Bombyx mori: one gene and its partner. The protein of the gene in region 2 purifies or fractionates together with the protein of the main gene of each other region. This does not show direct contact. Links are inferred from orthologs where the notes say so. Each region holds a gene or a part of one and is shown on either strand. Other genes may lie near its edges. The genes, in order: nuclear receptor-binding protein homolog; protein bunched, class 2/F/G isoform.

Evidence for each region.
Region 1: the proteins of protein bunched, class 2/F/G isoform (region 2) and nuclear receptor-binding protein homolog purify together in Homo sapiens (affinity purification with mass spectrometry; 6 studies listed by BioGRID and IntAct, with this or other methods). This does not show direct contact. The link is inferred for Bombyx mori from reciprocal best matches to the Homo sapiens genes TSC22D1 and NRBP1.

What each region holds. Positions count from the first base shown.
Region 1 is NC_085116.1:671,669-682,007, forward strand, and holds the end of nuclear receptor-binding protein homolog, read left to right. Parts: intron 1-3,234; coding exon 3,235-3,459; intron 3,460-3,856; coding exon 3,857-3,987; intron 3,988-4,066; coding exon 4,067-4,245; intron 4,246-4,427; coding exon 4,428-4,602; intron 4,603-4,727; coding exon 4,728-4,846; intron 4,847-4,922; coding exon 4,923-5,076; intron 5,077-5,355; coding exon 5,356-5,542; intron 5,543-5,656; coding exon 5,657-5,776; intron 5,777-5,847; coding exon 5,848-5,976; 3' UTR 5,977-9,801; downstream 9,802-10,339. UniProt on the Homo sapiens protein: Required for embryonic development. Plays a role in intestinal epithelial cell fate and proliferation, thereby involved in the architectural development of the intestine potentially via the regulation of Wnt-responsive genes.
Region 2 is NC_085111.1:3,742,132-3,752,570, forward strand, and holds the start of protein bunched, class 2/F/G isoform, read right to left. Parts: upstream 6,083-10,439; 5' UTR 5,826-6,082; coding exon 3,094-5,825; intron 1-3,093. Other genes in the region: uncharacterized protein LOC101742662, read left to right, coding at 8,577-8,859, 8,942-9,105, 9,581-9,783. UniProt on the Homo sapiens protein: Transcriptional repressor. Acts on the C-type natriuretic peptide (CNP) promoter. Acts to promote CASP3-mediated apoptosis.

The DNA of each region.
Region 1 (10,339 bases), on a different chromosome or scaffold from region 2:
GACCTTGATTTCGTTCCTGCAATTGTGAGTTCTTAATGTCGTCATAACTCATTAAATATTGTCAACGTATACTTTAATCATGTAATTAAATACAAAAACGCAACCCCGATCTCTATCGACTGCTTCTAACTTCTTCTAATCCCCTATTATCCTTATTATTTTAATATCAAATAACCTCCCCTAATACCTCGACCTCTGCTCTATCTATTTGTGCCAATAATCTTTACCACATGAGTCAACGAAGTATATTATACCCTAGTTTAACTTATCGGATAGTATAAATGCAATAAATTTAGTGTTCTTTATTGTATAAGTAAACATTTTTATTAGTAACACAATTGAATTTGGTCAATTTGACTGGTGTTCTTACATCATATCATTTATGGAAGAAAAACAATAGAATACAAATAAGTTTCAAATAAATAATACATTTGTAAAGTCTTCTAAAGGTATCGGGTGAAATTTTAAGAAATATTATGAGCTTCTAAAAGAGCGACAATAAATGAGGAGAACAATACAGTTCGGTAGAATTCGATGAATGCATTGTTTGCGGTAAACCGATTAGTATCTTTTAAATAGTACGTATTTAAGCTACAAAGCATTATTTTAAATGTATTATTTATTTGAATTTTAACTGTAAACATACATTTAGATACAAAACAATTCGCTTTGAGGAGTCCAACACAAACTAATATTACAGTTTATGAAAGGTTTTTACTGCAGGTTTTTTTTCGCTGTTCAAAAAGCGAGTTAATTTGTCGCGGAACAAATAAATATTTCAACAATTATTACTTGTTCATATTAATATTTCAACAATTATTACTATTCTACTTGTTAAATTTGAATCTCAGAGTATGTTTTCATTGGGTAATCTCTTTTTTTTATTATTATTATTGTATTCCATCTTCGAGCCGATGAATTGCCAATGTTATGTACGCCATTATTGTCACATGCAACAGGCCATAAATTAAATAGTTTAAGTTATTTTCAATGTTAAACGTTTGTGATGTGGCAGTACCTTTTTAAATAAATAAATGAACAACCCTTTATTCATTTATGGGAACGAAGCAATCATATTTTCCTTTCCGCATTCGCTATTTCGATTGCTAATCTCTAACACTTCTCCATTACGTTCGTTGAAAGTCATTGCACTTAATAATATTCGCTTTGTAAACATTAATTTCAATTGTTCGACAGCACCTGTTGCTTTTAAACCAAAACATCGTAACAATAATATACTTGTAGTTTTTCCGTTTATTGCCGACTGAATCATACGTTCGGTCCTATGAAGTCGGTTGTTAACTGGTCTACCTAATTACTCTGAAAGCTATCGACCAAGCTCACGACTTTCGGTATCTAATCTATTATCTTAGGTAAAATAAGAAAGCACAAAATGTAAAAAGCACGGAATGGGATCGAACCTTGTATTTCACTGCCCGAACAAACATCCAGCACAGAATAACTGTTTGCCTTCTGGCTTTACAGTCCCTCTTTCGAAGAATTTCAAGAAACCAACGATGATGAAATAGATGGTAGATTAATATAAACTACACACCTAACCTGCCAGAATGGACAAACCCTATACCTATCAACACCTATGAAATATAATGATTAGTTACAAGAAAATTTCAAACAACATTAACGATTTAATATCAACATGCACTACGCAAACAATGCAACACAATTATTATTGGACCTTGCAACCGGCACTTATCGTCCGTTGCACTCGGCTCTGCATTATAAACGTTTCTCTATCAATTCGAACAATTATAATAATACGTTTCAATTATACAAACGATTGTTTTGGTTACATTCGAATAATAGCTATTGTATACTTCGAATGGAACTACCCTACCCGACTTACTCTAAATCCAATAAGATTTTTATTCAAAGAACGTCTTTCACAGCTCACTACTTCACACCGTAGCTGTACTATTTTACAGCTTTCCACACACTATTTTCTTACGTTTATCTAACTAAGTAGCACACGCTGGTAAAGCAGCCAATGATGTAGTAACGAACGCTTAGTCTAAGATCAAGTTTCTTTAATTATCTTCTTCTTGCCTTTATACCACATTATATGGGGTCGGCGCCGCATGTCCTGTTATCATGCTGCATAGGCACCTGACACCTTACGACCGGCTGCCTTCAATGCAACGTGTCTTTGCAAGGTCCTAGAGGGACCTTTTCTGTTTCTTCTTCTGGTGTTTCTTTTACTTCATCCGTTTATGGTTCTATAACTTGCATCTTATTATTATAAATTGTTACACTAAAATTTAGATTTTCAAATACCAAAACGATGGTCGTCAGTAGTAGTCGTGTCCTAAAGAATAAGACGTCCGGTGCATTCGTACCTAGTTCATCCATACTACCTTGCCTAAAAACAGTGCCTTCATCCACGGTGTGTTTTCAGAGAACTTTTCTGCCCCTTCTTATCCTCCTGCTTTGGAATGAACTTCTCTCCTCGGTTTTTCCTGAGCCTTCCTGAATGGGTAGGCAACGCATTGGTTGTGTCCCAAACATTGTTGACGTCCATGTGCCACGGTACCCACTCTCTATCAAGTGGGCCGTATGCTCGTCAGTTTACAAAATTCAATAAGAATATGTCTACGATTCGCAATAACCGCAGATCATAATATCACAAATCACGTTAACAAGTCAAGTTTTCAATGCGTTATCAATTGCGGACGGCGCGGCGTGGAATATTCTCATACATTGCGCAGGAGTTTCAATTGGATGATTGGTCATACAGAAAGGATGACCGGTAATTTGACCATGTATGTACATAATGTAACGTGATTGTTCGCTTTCAACGACGCAATGATTTCGTTTCATTCAATGTTGTATTACAATGTAAGGATGGTATCTTTAGCCGAAGTCAGATCAGGATATCTATCCATCTCCATACATTTAGATTTAGAACCCTAATAATTTTTTCACATACATTCAATTTTTTTTGTAAATCTACCCCATACACTTTTGTGTGTGGCATGTTGACATAGCTGCCCATAGACACGAGAAAGCGGATGCCGCCGTCTACAGACATGCCCTAGTGATTACATGTTTGTGTAATGTAATAACATCTTCAGAAAAAAGTACCTTTTATTATCGCTTCTGTGATTCAGATATACCATTAATTAGAGCGATCATAAGGGACTTCAATATCAATTAATAATGAAATCGAGCTTGCTGCCATTTTTACAGTATCTTAATATAAATTTATTACTATTTCAGGTTGAACAACGCGATGTGCCCGGTATTGACTGCGCCAACCTTGCGATGGACACCGAAGAGGGCGTGGAAGTCGTGTGGAATGAAGTCCAGTTCTCCGAGCGGAAGAACTTCAAAGCTCAGGAAGATAAGATACAGACGGTGTTCGACAACCTGACCAGGCTTGAACACCCTAACATCGTCAAGTTCCATCGATACTGGACTGACACGCATAACGACAAACCCAGGGTATGCATTTCAATTTTACTCGCTATTCTTAATGGACCGTTTCTCAATTATATATTTATGCTACATTGTGATATAATTATAAGGTAATGCCCCCAACGACAGAATGCAGCTTAACACACATTTCTTAAAAGATATGAAGGGACCGTATGAAATACACGAACAGTCGAAACCTTTCGGATTTAGCGAGCTCTAGCAGTCAATTAACAATTTTAGGGTTTGTGTATCTCTACATCGCCTTTTACGATACCCACGGTAAGCTACCACCACAACCACCCCAAAGGCCAATATCCTAGGCCAATGCCAAACAGCTGTAGCAGTATGAAAATATTAAGGGAAGAAATAACATATAGGCAAAAATCGGAAAAGTCGACTAATTGATATCCATTGATTATTTCAGGTAATTTTCATTACTGAGTACATGTCGTGCGGCTCATTGAAGCAGTTTCTGAAGAGAACGAAGCGCAACGTGAAGAGGCTGCCCCTCCAGGCGTGGAAGCGATGGTGCACACAGATACTATCTGCATTAAGGTACAAGTTCGTTTGGGCTTACTTGAAATATCTCGTTTTCATAACTCACGTATTTCATTCGTTGAAATTCGATTTTCAGTTATCTCCACGGCTGTGTTCCGCCGATCGTCCACGGAAACCTGACCTGCGACACCATTTTCATCCAGCATAACGGCCTGGTGAAGATCGGCTCTGTAGCGCCCGACGCAATTCACCACCACGTCAAGACCTGCCGCGAAAATATGAAGAACATGCACTTTATCGCCCCAGAATATGGATGTAAGTACAGCGATAAGCTGCCATTCTAGCACCGAGACTACAAAGTTTCCTTTGCTTTGGTTTTGAGCTTTTTGCTTCTTTCAACTCTGCGGATTTAATCAAACGAGGCAAAACGCAAACACCACAGCAACGGAAACTCTGTGGTCAGATATTCATTTCACGTTTATTTCCCCTTGAATTAGCATCTCAAATGGTGACGCCAGCAATGGATATCTACTCGTTCGGAATGTGCGCTCTGGAAACCGCAGCCCTCGAAATCCAAGGAAATGGAGACTCTGGCAGCCACGTCACGGAGGAACACATCATACGGACGGTCGAATCGTTGGAGGATCCCAGACAGAAGGACTTTATATACAGGTATATTAGCTTCTCTGTGTTCTTGTTCGCAGGTTCCGTGTAAACGGTAAGTCAGGATTCTCTCTGCTCTTCGGTGAACTGATGGCGTGTTCTGGTGTTGATATGTCTGGGTCTTGTGTTCGCAGGTGTATAAACCAGCATCCCGAGAAGAGGCCGACGGCGAGAGAGCTGCTCTTCCATCCACTGCTGTTTGAAGTCCATTCCTTAAAACTGCTGGCGGCCCACACGCTGGTTAATACAACCGGTAAGGATTTCTGCTCTGACTGGCGTAGCAAAATCAGAATCGAGATATTTCAATGTTTTTTTTTTTTTCATTTCAGCTAATATCTCCGAAACTATAACTGACGAAGTGACCGGCGGCAGCAGCGGCGAGGCGCTGGCGTGGTGCGTGCGCGGCGGGGAGCGCGTCGAGATCGCGGCCAAGGACCTCCAGCCGCACGCTGAAAAACTAGAGAAATTTGTCGAAGACGTCAAGTAAGTGACTTTAGAAAAATGATTGTGCGAGGTTCGGACGGACGCCAACCGCCACCTCCGCGCCCGTATTTATACTTTCAATTTGTGAACTCAAACTTTCTTTTTTCAACTCAAACGATATTTTTGCGTTTCTTTAGCTGTGTGATTTTTTTAATTTGTTTTGTTTGACTCTCAGTGCAAGTAAAATAATTGCTTTAGTTAGAACATGAATGTTTCTAAAGTAGACTAACAGAAATGGCACTAGTAAAACAGAGCATGAGTCGATCGTCCGGTCCCCAGGTACGGCATCTACCCGCTGACGGCGTACGGGTCGGGGGCGGGGGGCCGCGCCTCGTCCCCCGAGCGCGCCCCCGCCCCCGCCGCCTCGCCCCCCCCGCGCGACACCGAGTCCCGCCGCGTCGTGCACATGATGTGCAACGTGGCGCCGCCGCCGCGACACAGCGACGCGCCCGACCACGACCTGCTGGTACGTACGCAGCGTCGGGACTGTCCAGTCTACACATGAGCCACTTGCTTTGTAATCACCGCCGCTCAGTATGCGACTTCACTAAACGCACAGTACGCGGCCCGTCCGTTGCAGATGACCATCATCCTGCGCATGGACGACAAGATGAACCGGCAGCTGACGTGCGCCGTGTCGCGCCGGGACTCCGCGTCGCACCTCGCGCGCGAGCTGGTGCAGCTCGGCTTCATCCACGAGGTCAGCCCGCCTCCCTCGGCGCCAGTCGGTAGGCACATGCGCTCGGTGACTCACTGTTGAACTCTGCACAGGCGGACCGCGACAAGATCTGCCGGATCATGGAGGAGTCCCTCCGCGCCAGTTTCCCCCCGGCGGCGGAGCCCCCCGTGGCGGCCCCCCCGGCGGCGGCGGCCCGCGCGCCTCAGCACGTGGCCAGCTAGTGCGGCGCCCCCCCGCCCGCGCGTCCCCCCCTCGCCTCGCGCGCAGCTCCGCGCGGCGGTCGGTCGTCGGAGGTGTGTTTTGTTTATTGCAAAAATCTCTTACGATTTTTACTGGCTCTTTGTAATGTAAATCTAGAGTTCGCAGCGTAGCCTCGGGTATCTGTAGTGTACTTTATGTATGTATCTAAAATCGTATGTAAATTTTTGTATCAAACACGGTTTGTAAATTAGTGTATGAAACCAAATTCGATAAATAATGTGATGTTGAGCTATCAGCGAGCGAGCCGCGCCCGTGGACAGCTGCTGTTGTCTCTCGGCTCAGTGCAGCACCTCCAACTCAAACTATACCCTAAATTACCCGTCCACTAAAATTTTCAGTTTCGTTTTATTACTTTATATGTGTGCGCTGAATATTTTCCAATATTGTCCTTTTTAAGTTGAATTATGTAACATAAATATGTAACGCGTGTGTGCTCACGAGCGCTCACGGTTTTCCATCTACAAGCAATGAAAACAAAACGCTGCAACAAGGTTGTGTGTAACGAGCAAAATAAAGAATTAAGAAAATTTCAGCAAAATTACCACTTGCAAAGAGCCCACTTGGCCGCATCACGCGTGAACATCCGTGATCATCCGTGACCATTCGTGAGCATACTTGAACAAACAGGCGCAAGTATGATGCGTGCTCTACTCGATATCCAAACGTCTTATCGATTTTAGAACATCTAGTTGTTTATGTCGTTATGTGTAATGATAGACGGCTACGGCTGCGGTGAGCCGGCGCGGTCCTGCGCGCACTGCGGACTGCGCGAGGCACAGCTCGGCCTCGCGATCGAACCAGCGGGTCTAGCAGCCGGATTAGAAACAAATCAATTAAATAAATTGAGCGCTATTATCAAAAATGTATTTTAAAATGTTAGCAAAGTAATCAAGTCAGCCTCGGGTCGGGGACTCGACCGGCGGAGGTTCGGTATTAGACGAGTATTTGTCCGATTTTTGTTTAGATTCATGTGAATACCGATGTACATGAAAATAAGCCTGCACTGATTAATAAATTTTATGAAATGAAAACTAAAACGTTATGTGTTGTAAAGAACCTTTCCTTATTTCAAATTGATGGACCTCTCGTGGTTTGCTCAGGCCCCCGCGCCGGTCCCCTCGTCGGCCCCCTCCGCCGGAATAATCAAATTGCTAGTCGAGTGTGAATCTAAAAACCGGACTGACCGAATCGTTAAGGAAAAAAATAGTTGAATATTGAAAATTATTTAATCGACAATGATTCGGCGAAGGTTTATAGTTGTTAGTGTGTACATCGAGAATGCTTTAGTATAGAAACTTTTGTATGAATGTGTAAATGTTACAAAAATGATATTTAATTAATATAATAATATATAAATAAATGTGAAACTTTAAAAAAAAACATTAATCGTAATCTGTATAGTGAGGCTTCCTTTTAGAGCTTTATGGACGTGGTATACGGGAAAATGAACATACTCACTAAGTGTTTAAGGTCGAAATTTATTTGTTTAGCGTTGGTTTTTTAAATGTGCAATAGTTCTCAAACTTCCTCTTTAAATCGGCGCTCACGCACTTGTTGGATACGCCTAGAGTCGTGGTCAATTCTGTGATCGCGAAAACTACTTGAATACGTATTCTCTTGAAGGAAGCATTAGAGTGTGTGTGGAACGATCGTCTCGAGTTTGAAATCTATTGTACTTTTAAGATTCAAAATTATTTTTTTGTAAATTTTTGTACATTTTACAAGTCGGTCAATGTGAGTGCAGTAGGGCACGTAGGCTGCGCCGACGCAGAATTAGTTTATGAACAAGTCAATTTCAATAGAATAATGCCTTTTTTAAATAAAATACTTATTTACAACTGCATTTAAACGATTTAATTGTCGCGATTCCGATCGTCGTGCGTTGCTCGCACGCGGACACGTTTAATGACAGTTATCAAACTTGAGGTTTAATGACAGCTGTCAAACTTGACGTCACTGCGAAGTGTAGCCCGACCGGACCTCGTTGGTGAGTGGCTTCTGCGACCCTCGCAGCAGAGGGTGGACCCCATCACCCTGTTTATTTTCAACAAAAACAGGTTATGGTGTGGTTCTGTGGTAAAGTGCAAGAAGTGGATCGGGCAGCGCCCCCAGTGGCCCACGGACAGCGGTCAGGCGGACACCACTCGCGACGACATTTTGTGCTTTTGTTTTCTTAAGGAAGGCACCTTGTTCCTATTTTTTATTTCGGTGCTGATTGTGAAATATCTTTTTTTTGTTTTTTCTTTGATAGTTGCAATTACACGTTTTAAAATAAATCTCTTGCAAAAAACAGTAACAAAAAATAACGCAGATCTTTATCCAATGTTCGTGTGTTTCGTTGAATGCTAGTGGTGCCAAACTTACAAGGTGCCAATAAAATGTTACGGAATTCTATCACATTACACGCTTCACGATATCAACTGTACACTGTATTTTAGTACCAAAAATAATAAATTGTTTCTTGTCCCTTCCATCTCTACACCGCAGCAACAATAAAGCTGAATATTATCCGAAAAAACAGAATTGTTGGCAAACATTTTGTTATTTGTTCTTATTCGTTGCGTATAGACTCGAACTGCATCTAAAAATATGTACAATTACTTTTCCTCATTTTCTGCTCATTTATTTTTGGTACCTACTTAAAACGAGCGATGTATAGTTAGGGAAGTAACAAAACGTTCGCGTTCTCTTCATAATTTCAAATTGTAAGCTTTTCACGTTTGAAGTCGTGGACACAAATACGTACGTCGTCCGGCGACCTGCGAACTGATTCTTATACTTCATTTACTAGTTTCTAAACCTGCCAACTTCCAGCACTTCCTGCCCGTCGCGTAGATCAGGAGTCGTTACTGAAATTTATGAAAATTGCATTGAATATATATTTTTAAGTACGTTGCTGACCGGCCGACGCACGGCCCTCACACAGACAGCTCGCGTCACGCCGTCGGCCGCTAGTGACGGGCCGCGTCACGCCGTCGGCCGGTAGTGACGGGCCGCGTCATGCTGTCGGCCGGTAGTGACGGGCCGCGTCATGCCGTCGGCCGGTGTAGCGGCACGGCGGTGACTCCGCAGGAGCACGGAGAGCGCGTTTATATGAACTAGAAGCGGTCTTCCATTTCATATAAAACAAGATCTCCCGCGCGGCCGCCGCTGTGTCTGTGCCTGTGTACCGACTTGCTTTTTTTATTTTATTATGAAATTATCTTGAATCTTGCTTATGATTTTAAACTATATATATTTTGCACAAACCTGAAGTTTTGAGATTTTGATTCAATATATTATAATGTTTTTATTATTATTTTTGTTGTTATTCAATCTGCTTTATTATTAATAACCCCACAATATCGTTCTGTTATTAAAATATATCTTTATGTACTGCGTATTACTTTTTTATTTATATTATTTAATTTTAAAATGAACACATTAATGATGAAATTTAGTGAATCTTGTTTTTAAAGTGAAATTGTACCCAGGGTGTTCCCGCGTCGTGTGTCCAAAGAGTGATGTGTTCATGAGTTGGTTTTTCTTTTTTGTTTTCTTATGAGATTGTAACTTTAATGTTATTTAATTGATCCAGAATTGCATTTTTTTTGTTTTTTATTTATTTTCTCGTCTACCATAGATAGGATGTAACCGGAGTATAATTTAGGTATAGTAAAGTATGTTATTATGCTCAAAATGACTTTTAACCTTTTTATTTTCAAGATCGTAATATGATCGGCCGATGTGTGCATACTATTCTAAAATGAGAAAATGTCAATAAAATTGTATTTTGAAAACATAAATATTGCTGTTTTTGTTCCTACGTGATATATGTAGTTGCGTGTTTATATGATTCTGGTGTGTTTTCGTCACGAAATGATTCCAAGTTATCAGCACGTACGAGTCCCATGTGTCGATGTCTGTTTCTGCCGGGGCCACTGGGCCCGCCCGTTATTTACAATTGGGGTCCTGTTTACTATTATGAATGGTGCCCAATGAAACGATTTTTCTTCACAAAAACAATTTTATTTAGTTACATCACACTTCTACATAATATCAGATTACTCATTGAGATTATATTAATGTAATAAGTTTTACAATACGAAATTTAAGTCTAACATTTGCTACCCGAAGTGTTATTAACTACGCTACTCTGCACTTTCATCCTATACTAGCCTTTTATTTTACCAAAAACTATGACAGAACATTTCATACAAACTTTTCACATGCGCTCACATTATTTCTTAAGTACAATATTTTGGAAGTACAGTGTTTACACGGTACAATGTTCCTAAAACAGAGTAAATTTATTTCAAAGTTAAAGGCACACATTTTTGAATA
Region 2 (10,439 bases):
CAAAATAACATTTTTTAGTATTTTTGTCGGTCTGTCTGTCTGTTTGTTTGTTCCGGCTAATCTCTGGAACGGCTGGACCGATTTTGATGAGACTTTCACTAATAGGTAGCTGATGATCTAAGGAGTAACTTTTTTTAGACTAGCTTCGCCCCGCGGCGTTACCCGCAGTTATTGTCGTACCGCTCGCAATATGGCGGGCTTCGCCTATCAATATAAAATTTAATGTTTCCGAAGCGAATCCAGGGCGGGTCGCTAGTTTTCTATAAAATACGGGCGCGATAAATTATCTAAACGGTAGGAACGAGCCGAAACAGGTGTATATCGTTAGATAATTTTCATAAACTTGACATAGAAAGTATTTTTGCATTGTATTTATAAATCACAAAAAGATATTCTCGTGATACGAATAAGTTTGGAAAGTATCCACACTTTGATGCTATTCATCCAACGAGCCATAAACGTTGGTATTTCCGTGAATGAACAGGATCAACTGTAAGTTCAGACAATGGGCCATTGAAAAACTCGTGGAATCTTAACAAGCAATAAAATAAAAGGTGCTGACATAAGAGCTATTTTAAGTCATAAAACACCAGTTTAAAATGTTGGAAAACATCTTTCAACACTTTTCACTATAAGTCACAGCATATTAGTCATTTTAAATAACATACTTTTTTTATAATTTTGACTCAGATTCTTGAAATTTCGATTTAGTCTAATTCTGTTATGTTTTTTAATACAAAATATTGGCAGTATGATATCTAAAATGAATTGTTTATATTCTAAGCACGTATATGTTCGACGATGTTTGATCAGGAGCGCGTGGAAGGTTCAGATTTCGCGACCTTCGATTCCATACTAGATTACCAACGTCGCCTCTGACGCTGCAGCGCCGGCGTTTGTATCTTTTTCTGCGGCTACACTAAGTTAAGGAAATAATTAATTTTAAAATAAATTCCATTTAAATCAACGTAGTTTTATATAATTACTACTTTATTTCGCGCGTGAGATTTTATTGTGTTAATTAAATTCAAAATTCTTAAAATGTCGGCATTTACGTTGTTCATGCCTATTGGTTTTCGTAGCTTCTTACTCCGGTAACACAAAGTGAGCTGTGAGCGAGTACACCGGTGTAACGAATAGAAAAAGTCGTATGTTGTCTAACACATTAAAAAGTGAAATCGAGCGTCATTGTCAAATAAAAAAGGTGTACACGATCGAGTTAGGCAGACGAAAAGGAGCGCACGGTCGACGCCTTTAATCCGTTACCGTAGAGATGTGAGGCGCGTGAGTCACCAACATACCGGCCAGCACCATGCACTCAGCATGCGTACGTGTCAACCGCCTATTTATGTCGCAGGACGAAGCACAAATAAACAGCATCAAAGGGACGTCGGATTCCGGCCGGCGGCGAAGCAGCGACCAACGAAAGCAAATCAAACAAACACCATTGTCTCTACTCGGAGTTATATTCGCAAATAGATTCCAGATTCGCTTAACAAAACCTATCCTTTCAAGTTACAAGGAATTTCACAGAAATTCTTCGAGTTTGATTTAGCGATCATGATACTGTTTTGGAAGACAATAAAAACTCATTTCAAGAACTCCATGCTTAGGGAATATTTAAACTAGTTGCACATACTACATTTTTGTGTACAAAAAAAAATCATTGTTATTTAATTTGTAAACTTTTTTAAAAATGTTGTCTAATAAATAAATAAACACATAATTATAGTTGCTACCCCTTGAGGGCCTAAACGTTGAGCCATTACAGTAATTAAGTTTAACATTAGAATGTGTGGGGTTATTTTAGTTTACAGTAATTACTGTAGATTTTCTTAGAAAGTTCAAGGTCTAGTGATTACCATACCCCATAAATATTAATATGTGAATGCAGCCAAATACCTTAAGAAACATGGTCTAAGAATCAGTTTTGTTTAGGTTTTAATTTAATTATCTTTAGATATAAAGGAGTGTGCTCCGAGTTATTATTTAAGGTGATCCCATCATCGCACAATCTGCCACCAGAGCAGAGTCTATACTACTACAACATTCCTCTATAGTATAGTATGTTCCATTATATTTTTAAGCCACACATCCAATTCTGGAATGAGAACTCCTCTTTATGGTATTTCTTGAGTGTCCTGTTGTGTCTTTGATACAAACATTTGTTTTGAAAATTTAGGTCATAGGCTGTGTGTCACATCTTCATATCTGTAATCAGTATTGCAGGGATCCTATTTCATTAGTTTGGAACACTTCAAAACTCAAGCCAAAAGTTAGCCAGGTTTGGTCCGAGTTGGTTATCAATATCATAACAAAATATGATAGCTTTATTTAACTTTTTCTCTACAGAAAATACTTGATTATCTTATAGTAGTGTATTTTGGTAAAATTAATAACAAAACTTGTTAAGACTATTTTCAAGGTAGGATATTCTCCAGCATAGTGGGGTCTGGAAAAATTAAAAAGCGACAGGAACAAGAATACATAGGAGACCATTAATAACAAATATCTATTAAACTTATTCCAATAAAGTCATGAGTCTGGTTCTTGTAATACAGGAAGGTCACTGACCACAGACAACCTTCAATAAATTATTCAAGATTTCTTTAGCCACCTACCCCCTACCAGAGGAAAATCTTTAAGCTAAGAGATGATGTGATTATTTTTTCCTTGCACTTAAAATTATGGTTTGTATAGTGGTCTTTACATTTGGTCTTCATCTTAAACAGTTACAACTTGAATGACCTTATTTATCTCTAATCTGTACAGGTAACTTGTATCTCTACAAGCCCATATTATGCATTTTAAAAACTACCCAAGTAGTTCAAATTTATTTTTAGATATACCCGTTTATTTTTCAGAATATTTTACTATATTCTAATAAATTTAAACACACTTCAGAAAGTACAAGAAAAACTAAAGACAACACAATTTTATTTTTCCCGTCGAACCATTTACGCTGAGGGCCTCTGATTTCTTTAAATACCACAAACTTATAATTCTATTTGGAATTGAGTTTGAAAATAAAAATTCGCATTATTGTTTATATATGAATAGTTTCTATAAACATAATCTTTTAAATTGACATACCTTTCATCCTCTGTAGGTGGTGCATTCTGGGTTTCCTCTTTACCATCGCCTATATCTCCAGGTTGCATCGCCTCAGCAGAAACATCAGGAGCACCACTTTCACATGCATTCACATTCACATTGCTTACCACCGCACCACTGATCGCATGAGACACTACCGCACTCACAGGGCTGCCAAAGCCCTGACTGTCATGTCCTGGTTGTGTGTTCGTCACATATGCAGTCGAGTTTACTGGTAATGACACTACCGGCGAGTTGGTTCCTGATACAGTTGCCTCTACAGGAGCTACATTGCTTTGAGACATGACTGGCACAACACCTCCGTAACCCAGACCCATGCTTGTCTGCGATGGCACCACATTTGGATGCACTCCGCTGCCCATTCCCACAGGCATGGTAGGCTGCATTGACATTGACATGTTCTGATGTGCCATTGTCACTGACTGATTCGGTACATACTGAACTGCCCCCATCTGACCTTGGCCACCTACTTGTTGTGGTAACATATTCTGTTGGGCCATATGTTGTCCAACAGGTAATTGCTGTCCGACATTCGTAGTTTGCATGAATATAGGATCTGTGGCGGGTATCTGCATACTGGGCTGATTCCCGTCCAGAGTCATCTGCATATTCTGGGGTGGGGCAGACATCATCTGCAAGTTTCCTTGAGGAACATTTCCTTGTTGTGGGGCCATTGGGTGAACATTAGTGGTGGGTTGTTGTCCAGCAAGGCTTTGGAGATTCGCAGGCAAAGTTGTACCTTGGGGTTGAGAAGCCATAGGCTGGAGGTTTGTAGGAAGTGTTGCACCTTGCTGAGAAGTAACAATAGTTGAGAGCACCTCTTGTGGTAAAGTCTGGCCTTGTTGGCTCATTTGCGATTGTTGAGTATGATACTGAGGTACACTGTGTTGTACCATTTGTGGCTGAGATGAAGGCATATTAGGATTGATCATAGACTGTGCAGTGGATTGTTGATTTACAGCTTGGTTATATTGCTGCTGGACAGTTGGCATGCCTTGTTGACTCATCTGAGGATGCATTCCAGGAACAACAGTTTGCTGCTGTTGTGAAGACAGTTGATGCATCTGTGTTTGCATTTGTGGTATTTGCTGGTTAGTATTAGTTAATTGAGTTGGCATTTGCATCTGCTGTATGTGGTTTGGTATTTGTTGACTTTGTAAAGCTTGGATTTGTGCCTGACTTGGCAAATGCTGCAACTGTGCTTGCTGAGTGCCCATAGACTGTTGGCTTTGCAAATGGTGACTCTGACCCATGTTGGTAATCTGGGTTTGTTGCATATGTAATTGTGGATTTGGTTGGCCTTGCATTTGTTGCATTTGCATTTGCTGCATCTGAGGTTGCTGAGTAGGAACTTGTGGCATTTGTCCTTGGTTCGTCATAGCCTGCATTTGTGGCATTTGTTGTTGCATCTGCATGTTAGGAATCTGTGCTTGTGGGATATGCTGACCCATTTGCTGCATTTGTTGATTTGGCATTTGCTGCATCTGTTGTGGCATTTGTTGATGCATAGGTATTTGTTGCATAGTTATGCCCTGTGTCTGAGCAATGACTTGCTGCAACTGATGTGGTGGGAAATTTTGTGTGATTTGTTGGACTTGCTGTTGTTGGTTTTGCTGTGGATGCCCCTGCGCTGCATTCTGCATTGTTATGTGAGTCATGCTTTGTGGATGCTGTTGACCTACTTGTTGACTCCCTTGCATATTTTGATTCGATATCTGTTGTGGCATTTCTAATGGTGGAGACTGAACAGTAATCGGCTGTGACACGGGCATTTGTTGTTGTACTACATTTATTGGTTGAGTTAGTGACTGTCCCGGAGAGGCCATGGGGAACTGTTTTTGAAGAGCTTGCTCTAATTGCTGAACTGTAGGAGCATTTCCTTGGAGATCTGACATATTAGGGCATTTATTTGATAGATCATTAGGCACTTCATCATGCTGACTATCATTTATCACCACACCACTATCGGGAGCTTGCAATGTATTGGTTTCAGTTACATCTTGATTGTTATTTAATGTGATGGGTGCATTTTGCTGGGATGTACTATGATCAAGATAGTCCATGCATATCCATCGACCTCTTCTAAACGGCTCGGTACTTTCAATTTTAACAACTTTGAAACGTTCATTTCTGACATGTTCTTGAATTTCTTTCATACCTTCTTGAGGTTTAGCATTTCCTATGAGATTAATAATGCTACCAGCACTTGCGTTAGTGACACTGACGTGCATATCATTCGCTTCTGTGTTATTACTATTTGGCACTGAACTTCCTATCTGATTGTTGGCGTTGTCCTGGCCGACTATCGCGAGTCCGTATTGAGAGCTGGTCGGTATAACAGGTGCGCAGCCTAGAGATGTGCTGGACGCGTTGTAGAACACGTCGTCTTTAGAAAATGTATCTTCCGAGAAACTTGGTGTTTCATTCTCTATATCAGTCACCCGTGATATGTCGTCGGTGTGAGATTCATCTAGATCATCAGCGGAGTCTTCGCCTGCATCTGTGCTCACTCGGGAGCCGAGCGTCACACTGGTGATCTGAAACGAAGATATTTTCCTTGGGTTATGGGCGGCTTGCAGACTTGTGGGGTGAGTCACTCCCTTCTCCGACTCGTTCAGCCGAAGAGATTCACTCGTTGTACGATGTATGACGTTGTTATACTTGTTTTTTTCACTAGTTTTATGTGACTTTTGAATCAGATTGTCAGCCATTATGCCGTCCGAACCGAATGACTATCTAAAGAAAATTTCACTGTCTATTGGCTTCAGAGACATTTGATTTACTTTACAATCACATCAATATATGTGGTATAAAATCATTGTACACTCACAATTTCACAAACACAGTAATTTAACTATGTAGGTCTTCAAAACTCATTAGTAAACACATACAGTTGCGAACATCTTTCAGACGGCAGCAACATGGCGGCCATTTATGCGCAATGCACTATGGTTGACAATTTGCAGTCGACTATAGACAAGATAGAGTAACTGACAAAAGCTTACTAAAAATAACACTAGATGGAGACAAAATACAAATGTCTGCTAGAAGGCGCTTACTGGAAAATAAAATTTTCTTAGTTTTTTTTATTAACAACTTTAAAAAGTAGTTACATTAAATAGTCACTTTAAAAGAGTTACTTAATATACTTTAAAAAAATGCTACAAATCATCAATAATTTGATTACTACCTAGTGTGATTTGTTTCTAATCGTATAATTTAGACATTTTATTAATCGCGTATGGACCTTAAAGCAAAGGTATGTTCCACCTCAGGTGCAGCTTAAAGCATAATTAAGCACTCAAATATATTAAGTGTATAATCTATGATTAAGCAAAAATAAAATTACAAATCTTCTTAAGACTGCATAAGTGTACCTATTCGACACAAGATGTCGCGCAACTACAACAAATTAATTAAATTGTGTCTTTGATGCTAAAAAAATGTAATAATAATAATAACTACCGAATATTTTGTTAATATATTTTGGCTTCAAGGAAATAACTATAAATCAATACAATATTTTTTCGATTTAATGTGTGGAAAAGTTTCTTTCGTTTTTGTTTTCAGGTTGAGTATTTAATAATGGATACTTGTTCTAATAAAAATAATAGTGAAACTGTTTTTTTACAACGAGTAATCCATTTCAATTGGGACGCAATCGAAAGTCAAGTCCTTGCCATCGTAACAAATTCGTATCCAGAAATCGGTACCATACATATTGTGTGGAGAATCGCGTTAGGTAAGCGTTTTTATTTTTTTTATTGCCTAGATGTGTGGACGAGCTCACAGCCCACCTGGTGTTAAGTGGTTACTGGAACCCATAGACATCTACAACGTAAATGCGCCAAACTTACTTTACTGGTGGTAGGACCTCTTGTGAGTCCGTGCGGGTAGATACCACCACCCCGGGTGGTGGTCTCAAGGTGGGTGGCGCATTTGCATTGTAGATGTCTATGGGCTCCAGTAACCACTTAACACCAGGTGGGCTGTGAGCTCGTGCACCCATCTAAGCAATAAAAAAAAAACACATCTTGAGATAGAAGTTCTAAGGTCTCGAGTATAGTTACATCGGCTGCCCCACCCTTCAAACCGAAACGCATTACTGCTTCACGGCAGAAATAGGCGGGGCGGTGGTACCTACCCGTGCGGACTCACAAAAGGTCCTACCACCAGTAAAAACAGGTGTACCCCACATTTCTCCTTGGATAATGACGCTAGAGAAAATATTTTCTACCATATTACCTGTTTCATATGCGGTTGTTCCGCTTTTGTTATAATGTGAAAATCAGTCCCAATATTAACGTGGTTATAGCTTAAAAGATTACGGTCGGCGTACTCTTGTTTCTAGTAAAGCGATAATACTGGGGTTCAATTACCGCAGGCAGGTGCCAATTTCTTATATACGTGTTCACGAACTACTTACACGATGATGGTACGTCGTGTACTAATAATCAAACCCGCAAAAGCTATGCGTAATTACTGTTGGTGAGCCAATAAGGATATATCTGCATCCCTACGTGCCCTCGTATAGGAAGCAATCTTTTGTTGTGCAGTATGAAGAGTAGCAGAGCCGCTGTGTCAACGTAATAGTTACCTGCTTTGAATCATATGGGACGTGAAGTAACCTGCTTATATATATATGTCTTATCTACTTATTTCTAGATTACTACATTAGAAGGAATCTGTCACAAAATATATTTTTTATTGTGGACGGGTTCACGGCCCATCTGATGTTAAGTGGTTACCGGAGCCCATAGACATCTACAACGTAAATGCCGCCACCTACCTTGAGATAAGAGTTCTAAGGCCAATCGTGAACATTTGGTACGTATTTTATTGGAACATTTGGTACCTGCCTGCGGGATTCGAACACCGGTGCATCGCAAGATACGAATGAACCGTCTTATCCTTTAGGCTACGGCGACTTCAGAATTACAAAAAACACTTTAATGAGTTTACATGTTACACTGTATTATATTTATACAGAATAGTGCAAACGTTAAGAAAATATGACTAAACTTACATTAACGCAGAGTTGTTGCGATTATCCGCACCTTCGAATAAAACTAAAGGCGCAGATCATGAAGCGCCCAGGCCGACCCCAAACTATTACCGGCAAGGTCTTCGGATGGTCAGCCGATTTACTCAACATCCCCACCAATCGCCGTGACACTTCTTAAACGAAGGTAATTTGCTATTATTTGTAAATTGGCTTACAGAGCGACGTCCGCCGCGAACCGTCCGCGCCACAGTCGTTCTAGAGCACGGGACCCCCCTGGCTCCTCGTGGATTCCGATCGCTCGATAGCTAGCTCTTTTCACTGAGAAATCGGACTTAAGTAAACAATCGTCACGTCGCACCACCGACGGTCGCAGCCAACGATCCCGGCCGCAGTCGATAAGATACAGCCCGAGTACTAACATACGCGTCTTGAAAATGTGAATGTGAGTGCTTCGGATATGGCCAAGTCGATCGAAGACAAGAAAACTAGTGAAGATAATACCAACATGGACGGGTACAGCGACGAGGAACTCGGCCGCATCGGGAGGTTCATGGTCTGGATGCGCATCAATCCGAACTTAATTATGTTAAAAGTGACTCTTTTTGTGATGTACGGAGCTACTGCTTCTCTTCTACCTTATTTAACGATTCACATGCAGAGTATAGGTTTGACTGTTCCTGAAATATCTTTTGTTTATCTAGCTTTACCGTTTACGACATTTCTTAGTCCTCCGATAACTGGTGAGTTCCGGTCTAGTATTGAAAAAAAAAACTCGATGCTAATTTCAAAATTTAAATTAATTTGATATCGATATTATTCTAGGATTTTTGGTGGATCGGTTTGGGGAGTATAAGCCTGTTGTGATAACGGCTCTTATTTTGAACGCCGCATTCCATCATTCTTTACTTCTGATACCTCACCAGGAGACGCCTGGTGTTATGCCATCGGCATACGTAATGAGACACCCGATCACGAACAGTGTAGAGGTATTAATTTAAATTTGATTACTAATAAACGATAAACAAAAGTTAAACTGGCTTCGTACGTATGTATGTACCGTAGAATTTGAGCAAATCGACGTCATCCGGTTTTTGAGCGAATTAACTGGCAGTGTCTTGTGATCCGCTGTATTTGAATTAGTTAAGGGAATTAAGCGAAATTTATGCACGCTGGACTTTACCCTTGATTGTTGTTATCGTCCATCCGTTTATTTTGATCCTTAATGGCTGTGACCTGAACTCAAACAATCATGTCTGCAGTTCGTTGATGGAAATAAATTACTTCTCGAACACCCCTCCCAAGACATCGTTATTTATATCTAGGGCTTAAACGTTTATTGCTAGCACGTATAACACAAGGTTATGTGCGCATGCACTCAACAATGTATTAACAATCAAATTGAAACACGCTTATAGAGAGTTTATAAGTAATTTTGATCGTAAATCTTAATGCTAATTTAAGATCTGGTGGAGCCCTTGTCCGAGCAGAGAGTGTCCTGATGAAGATGAAACCGTTGATTTTGTACTGGACCGTTGCGTAGATCACTGTCAATTGTTTAAGCCTCCAGAGAGTCCTTTCACGAAACCTTCGGGAGACGATGAAAACGATGACCTTGACTTTCATATCAGCCACAAGATCCAACCACCGAACTTATCCAACAGCAGGTAATGTGAGACGTGCAATCTTTCGTATGATTAAAAATACGAAAATAAAGTGGCGTTTAATCATAATGAATGTGTTAAATTACATTTTCTTTGTTACGCCTTTCAAAACAATGATAAGACAAAAATCTTATAATACTAAACAAACTTAAATCACAATAAGAGTATATAAGCCTTCCGAGCTCTTTATTTAAAATTTACATCGTAAAATCATTTTCCTTAGTATATCAACAAAATACTACTACTCTAAGAACTCGTAACTAAAACTAGCTACGACGTTGTATAGATACAAGATATAAAGAATTTAAATCAATTGTCACCAAAAACATGACATCGTATAGTACTTTTTTTAAACAATCCTATAACACTTGCGACAAAAGGGACATGTAGGATCAATAAATAGTTTAAAAAAAACATATTTTTGTAAATAAATTTTAACAAAAACGAATCGTAGAAGTCTCAGTAGAAGTGTCCAGACAGATTTGTTAATGAAATCAACTAATTCAGATTCTGCTGGTTCTTGTATCGTGGACAACGCCCGTGGAGTTCGTCCATCCGTTTACGGTATAAAAAAAAACGTCTTTTTTGGGTGTCCTTATCAAAGAATAAAATACTATCTTGCGGATGTAGAATGTTGAAACTTTTTACTAAATATAGTA